2 linked regions of the Macaca fascicularis genome follow. The protein of the gene in region 1 purifies or fractionates together with the protein of each later gene. This does not show direct contact. Links are inferred from orthologs where the notes say so. Each region holds a gene or a part of one and is shown in the gene's direction. Other genes may lie near its edges.

The links. The genes of interacting proteins can lie anywhere in the genome.
Region 2: the proteins of TNFRSF10B (region 1) and RIPK1 purify together in Homo sapiens (affinity purification with western blotting, with the first as the bait; 3 studies listed by BioGRID). This does not show direct contact. The link is inferred for Macaca fascicularis from reciprocal best matches to the Homo sapiens genes TNFRSF10B and RIPK1.

What each region holds. Positions count from the first base shown.
Region 1 is NC_088382.1:26,141,039-26,144,556, reverse strand, and holds part of TNFRSF10B (tumor necrosis factor receptor superfamily member 10B), read left to right. Parts: intron 1-2,375; coding exon 2,376-2,481; exon of another isoform or gene 2,482-3,490; coding exon of another isoform or gene 3,491-3,518. UniProt on the Homo sapiens protein: Receptor for the cytotoxic ligand TNFSF10/TRAIL. The adapter molecule FADD recruits caspase-8 to the activated receptor.
Region 2 is NC_088378.1:169,978,726-169,982,243, reverse strand, and holds part of RIPK1 (receptor-interacting serine/threonine-protein kinase 1), read left to right. Parts: intron 1-1,729; coding exon 1,730-1,879; intron 1,880-3,518. UniProt on the Homo sapiens protein: Serine-threonine kinase which is a key regulator of TNF-mediated apoptosis, necroptosis and inflammatory pathways.

The sequences.
Region 1 (3,518 bases):
CGCTCTGTCGCCCAGGTTGGAGTGCAGTGGCCGGATCTCAGCTCACTGCAAGCTCCGCCTCCCAGGTTTACGCCATTCTCCTGCCTCAGCCTCCCGAGTAGCTGGGACCACAGGCGCCCGCCACCTCGCCCAGCTAGTTTTTTGTATTTTTTTTTAGTAGAGACCGGGTTTCACGGTGTTAGCCAGGATGGTCTCGATCTCCTGACCTCGTGATCCGCCCGTCTCGGCCTCCCAAAGTGCTGGGATTACAGGCTTGAGCCACCGCGCCCGGCCTGTTCATAATATTTTCATATGATCCTTTGCATTTCTGTCCATTGTAATGTGTCTCCTTGTTGTTTTTTTGTTTGTTTGTTTTTTGTTTTCTTTGAGACAGAGTCTCCCTCTGTTGCCCAGGCTGGAGTGCAGTGGGATGATCTCGGCTTACTGCAACTTTCGCCTCCCAGGTTCAAGCGATTCTCGTGACCCAGCCATCCAAGTAACTGGGATTACAGGTGTGCTCCACCATGCCTGGCTTTTTTTTTTTTTTTTTGTATTTTAGTAGAGGTGAGGGTTTGCCATGTTGGCCAGTCCGGTCTCCAACTCCTGGCCTCAGGTGATCCATCTGTCTTGGCCTCCCAAAGTGCTGGGATTATAGGCGTGAGCCACCTCACCTGACCTCCTCATTCATTTTTTATTTGATTTGTCTTCTTTCTTTTGTCTTAGTCTAGTTAAAGGTTTGTTGATTTCATTTCTTTTTTTCAAATAACTAACAGAATTTTGATAGTCTTTTGTATTTTTTTCTAGTCTCTATTTTATTTATTTTTGCTCTGATTTTTATTATTTCTTTTGTTCTGCTAACTGTGGGCTTAGTGTATCTTTTTTTCGTTTCCTTGAGGTATAACATTAAGTCTTGTATTCAAGATCTTTCTTCTTTTTTGATGTAGGCATTTATTGCCATTTCCTCTTAACACTGCTTTTGCTGCATCCCATAAATTTGGTTATGTTATCTTTCCATTTCATTTTCTTAATATATTTTTAAATTTTCCTTTTGATTTCTTCTTTGACACATTGGCTGCTCAAGAGCTTGTTACCATTCAAGTTCTTTGTTCATTTCTTAACCACATTGTTGGCTTGTGGTGGTTGTTGTTGAGTTGGAGTTTTTATATATTTTAGATATTAACCTTTTATCGGATATATAGCTAGTAAATGTTTTCCTCTTCCTGTGGGTTGCCCCTTCACTGTTGATTATCATTTGATGCACAAAAGTTTTTAATTTTTACATAGTGCAATTTATCTATTTTTTTCCTATATTGCTTGTGTTTTGGGGATCACATTCAAGAAATCATTGCCAAATCCAAGGTCATGAAGAATCGTTCCTATGTTTTCTCCTAAGTTTTAGGGTTTTCACTTTTATGTTAGATTTTGGATCCATTTTGAGTTAATTTTTGTATATATGTAAGTCAAAGGTCTGAGGTCATTGTTTTGTGATAAGTCAATATCTAGATTTCCCAAGACCATTTTAAAAAAGATTGTCCTCTCTCAATTAAATGGTCTTGGTACCTTTTCCAAAAATTACTTGATATATATAGTCATGCACCACATAACAACATTTCTGCCAACAACAGACTGGATATATGATGGTGGCTCCAGCAATTATGTAACATACTACACAGGTTTGTAGCCTAGGAGCAAGAGGCTATACCATATAGGCCAGGTGTGTCATAGGCTACACCATCTAGGTTTGTGTAAGCATACTCTCTGATGTTCACACAACACAATCACCTAACAACCCTTTGCTCAGAACAATGTTGATCAATGCATGGCTGTACGTGCAAGTTCATTTCTGGGCTCTCTGATCTAGTCCATTGGTCTATATGTCAGGCACCTTTTAAAATCAGAAGTTCACTATTTAATGTTTGATCCTGTATCCCAATTTTTTAAGTTTGCTGTATTATAACCCCCATTTATAAAAATGTGTATGTGTGCCTGTGTGTCTGTTTGTGTGTGTGTCTGTGTAAGAGAGAGAGAATGAGAGAAAGAGAGAGAGAATAGGCATACCTATGGAAAAATAGTGGAACTAAATGAAACAAAATATTAATGGATGCTATCTTTAGCTGAGATTATCATGTGTGGTTTGTGTATTCTTCTAAAAACTTTCCTTGCCCACATTTTCTGGAATAAACATGTTTAGAAGAGTTTTTCAAGTGAATGTTACTTGGCCTTCCCTGAAATATGAAGGGACGAACAAACATGAAAGGATGTTTGAGAGGTGAGAGCTGCAAGAAAGATGAGGGTTCTGTTTAGCCTTCGTGCCTGGGGTCAAGGGAATGTGAGTGGATCCTGGGAGGGGTGAGCTCTGGAAGCCACTCACACCCATCCCTGCTTTGTCCCCACAGGTCTCAGCTGACTGTGCTCCAATCACCCGACAATCCCTAGATCCCCAGCGAAGAGCGGCTCCACAACAAAAGAGATCCAGCCCCACAGAGGGATTGTGTCCGCCTGGTATGTTTAAGATGGGTCTCTGATCCTTACCCCTCCTCCCCTTGTCTCCATGAGCTTCCAGTCTGTTTCCTTTGCACTTCCTGGTTCTTTATGCCACAGAGAGGCATTGGGTGCCTCCAGCTCAAGGCTCTGTCCTTCTGGAGCCTTCCTGCTAGGTTGGTATCAAGACACACAAATGAATGAGACCGCCAAAGAGACTGATAGGCACCTTGAGGGAGAATTGAGTGGAACAGAGATGGGGCTGGTGAGGCCTCCAGGCAATGGTGACTTTGGGTTGACATCTGGAGGTGGGCAGGGCCAGAGGTGCAGAGAACCAGGAAGAGTGCTCCTAGGAGGGTTCCACTGGAACAATTGCCGGGGGTCAGGGGTTGGGGAAGATGGAGCAACGGCAGGGGACTACTGTGGGGAGTGGAGGGTTACGAAGTTAGAGAGACAGGTGGGTTCAAATCCTACAGAGAGGAAGCTGGATTTTATTTCACGAGTGATGGATGTCCCTGCGAAGTTTTCAGCAGAGGGCCACCAGCATTGGATGTGCATCCTGAGTGCCCACTCCTGGATTGAAGCGGAGCAAGACAGGAAGCAGGTGGAGGGCCTTGAGTGTGAGGCGCTCCCCTGGGATGTTATATGGTGCCCTGTAAGGTCATTTGAGCCCTGAGAGATGCAGCAGGAACCTGGCCTGAAGTGTGCTTGACTGCTGTGTTCACCTCGCACTTCTTTCCCTCTTTCCCCCGCGCGTATGAGGTAAGAATTGATTGCTGCATGAAGGTTTCCAGGGCTGGCAAGTGTGGCAAGCAGTGGCTTGTAAAATCCATTTACAAATTTGCATTTCTTTTCCATGACTAAGGGCCACAGGAAAGGCTTGCCTGAGGGCAAACTCTCACATTGCACGCGTGGGCTTGTCAGGAGCAGAGCATGGAGAAGGAAGAACCCAGTGTGAAGCAGACACAAACTCATCTGTAAATGCTCCTATTGCTGTGGTCCAGAGTCAAGACCAGGGAGCAGGACAGGAATGGGAAGAATTCAAGAAGTATTTGGGG
Region 2 (3,518 bases), on another chromosome or scaffold:
TTAGTCTTTCACACTACAAGGCATACACTTCATACTTTCACTCATTCACTTACTCCTTCATTCAAGAATTCTTTCTTTTCAGTCCCTACTGTGGGCACTTTAGTCGGCACCGGGAATATAAAGATGAGTAAGTCGTGGCTTGTGTAGGAGAACAGAGACACTCTTCAGTTTGTTAAGTGCATAAACTAATGGATGTTTCCCTACATACTCATCTTGGGTGATCATCAGCTCCCGTGGTTTGATGATCATCTCTTTGCAAATGCTTCTTAAATCTGTGTCTCTGGCTCTGGCCTGGATATCCACTTGTCTTATGGTCAGATCCATTGCAGGCACCAAAGGAACCTCCAAAGCAGCATCCCCCAAACACACCCATCTTGTCGACACTGTCCTGCAGCTCGCCCTGCTTCACTCCTCTTCATATGCTCAGGAAGTGGCATGGCCATCCTTTTACCAAGTTGCCCAATAAGAAACCTTAGAGTCATCCCAGACTTGCCCTTGCCTCTCTCTCCCACATTCTATCAGATCTCAAAACCTATGAATTCAAGATATATATATGACTCAAGATATATCTGCAACCCATCTGCCTCTCTCTGTCCCCACTGGCCTCTGCTTAGTTCAAACCCTCACTGTTTCTGCGGCAGGCTCCTTCCACTGTCCACCATTCATGTGGCAGCCAAAATGGTCGTCCTAAAAGGCACATGTGACCCTTTCCCTCACATACTGGAAATCCTTCCCAGATGCTCCATGGTGTTCAGGATGAAGTTCGAATTCCTTAGTGTGGAATATTCTGGCCTTTGCTTCTCTACTGGCCTCATCCCTGACCCTCCCTTCTTTGTCAGTTAGACTGAGTGAGGAATTTCTGGGATGTGTCATGATCTCTGTGACTTCTAGTCTGTTGATATCCTGCTTCTCTTGCCTGGAGTTCTCCTCCTTAAGTCCCCCTTTCCCATTCTTTACCTGCTAATTTTTCTGGACTCAACAAAGCCTTCCTGGATCTTTTTAGTCAGGGTTGTGCTACTGGAGCCCCTTGTACATTCTTTTTTTTTTTTTTTTTTTTCCTTCTAAGACGGAATCTCACTCTGTCACCAGGCTGGATTGCAGTGGCGCAGTCTCAGCTCACTGCAATCTCCACCTCCCAGGTTCAAGCAATTCTCTTGCCGCAGCCTCCCGAGTAGCTGGGACTACAGGTGTGCACCACCACGCCCAGCTAATTTTTGTATTTTTAGTAGAGATGGGGTTTCACCATGTTGGCCAGGATGGTCTTGATCTCTTGACCTCGTGATCTGCCTGTCTCAACCTCCCAAAGTGCTGGGATTACAGGCATGAGCCACCGTGCCCAGCCCCATCCTTTTTGAATAGCAATGATCACTCTTGTGTTTTAAGTCACTCTCATTAACTTGAGCTCCTAAAGGCAAGGACTGTCCCATATTTGCCTTTGCACATGGAGCGTGCCACTGGCCTTGCCCACATAATCTCTGTTCCATCAGCAGGTAGCTTTGTTGAGAATTTTGTTTTATCTGCAGACATTAAGCTATTGTTTGGTCATCTCTGTAGTGGAATATGTCAGACAAAGAGCTGACATATTCCACTCTATAGAATGAGGCAGCCGTACCACAGGCATACCAGAGGCTGAAAAAAATGAGCAGTATTGTTCAAGTTCTGTCACCTTCCTGCCTGAGAGAGGAGCAAGACCTGAAAGTCTCAACCTCAGCTCCTCTTTGCTTTACAGATGCTATCTGTGAGCAGCAGCTGATAATGTGCATAAAATCGGGGAACAGGCCAGATGTGGACGACATCATTGAGTACTGCCCAAGAGAAATTATCAGCCTCATGAAGCTGTGCTGGGAAGCGAATCCAGAAGCTCGGCCGACATTTCCTGGTAAGAGCATCTTTTCTGACTGTGTAGGATGCATCCTGTGTGGTGATTTTCCCAGTAAGATGTTGTTAGGAACTTGGTTTGAATCCTCAGAAAACTGAGTTCAACTTTACTTGTGGTTTTAAACTGATTTTCTAGATTTCAAACATGTTGTTCAGTGCAAAGAAGCCATCTCTCAAAAGCATGAAGGCACATAAGGCCTTCTTGTTTCCTTTTTTTGTAACTAACTTTTTAACTTGGGTTTAAATATACATAACTTTCAAATTAACATTGTAACTGTTTTCAAGTGCACTGTTCAGGGGCAGTAAGTACAGTCCCACAGTACGTTCACTCTCCATCATCTCTCTCCCTGCCCCGGCAACCCCCATCCTACTTTCTGTCTCTACGAATTTAACTGCACTGGGTACCGTATATAAGTGGAACCATACAATGTTTGTCCTTTTGTGTCTGGCTGATTCCACCTGGCATGATGTCCTCGAGGTTCATCTGTGTTGTAGCAGATGTCAGAATTTCTTTCCTTTTCAAGGCTGAATAATATTCCATTGTATGAATAGACTGCATTTCGTTTCTCCATTCATCCGTGTATGGGCTTTCACCAGCCTTCTTTGCTTCTTCACCTCTTTTATTTCCATCCCCTCCCTTGTTTAGCTGGCATCTTTAGAAAGTATTTTGCCATTTAGACTGGCCCTGTCATACAGGGATGGGGAAAGGTGCCTGGATGTTTGCTGAGCAGTATTCTATGGTGTGGATGTACCACAGTTTAACTATTCACTCCTTGAAAGACTTGTTTCCAGTTCTTAACTGTTGGGACTAAAGCAGCTGTAAATATTCATGTACATGTTTTTGTGTGAATATAAGTCTTCATTTCTCTGGAATACCAAGGAGTGCAGTAGCTAGGTTGTATGGTAGTTTCATGTACAGTTTATTTAAAAAATTCCCAAACATTTTCCCAGAGGGGCTGTGCCATTTTATATTCGGTGTCTGCGTGATGCAGGTTCTTGCATCCTCACCAGCATTGGGTACCCAGGCTACTCACACTTCTGCTCAGCCAACTACAAATTTATTTGAGTATTCCCACAAGCCCCACTTCAGGTCTGGGAATTCATTAGAAAGACTCACAGAACTCAAGAAAACATTTTACTTATGTCTCCCCTTTTACTGTACTGGGTACAATTCAGAAACAGCCAAATGGAAGAGGTGTACAAGGTGAGGTATGGGAGGAGGGTGTACAGAGCTTCCACAGCCTTTCAGGACACACCACGTTCTGGTGCTTCTATGTGTTCAGCAACCTGAAGCTCTCCACACCTTCCCATTTAAGGTGATTTATGGAAGTTCCATTACATACGCATGATTGATTAAATCATGGTCATTGGTGCTTGAGCTTAATCTCCAGTCCCTCTCTCCTCACTGGAAGTCAAAGGTGGAGCTCAAAGTCCCAACCTTCTAATTATAGCTTGGTCTTTCTGGTTGCTAGCCCCCATTCTGAAGCTGCTTAGTTTTCTGACCCCACCCAAAAGACACTCTTAGAAGACTCCAAGGATTTTAGGTGCTACCTGCCATGAACAAAACCAGACCTTTCTGATTCTCCAAGGTGTCTTATTTTATTGTTTCCTTTCTGTTTAGGGAACTTTCCTTAATCATT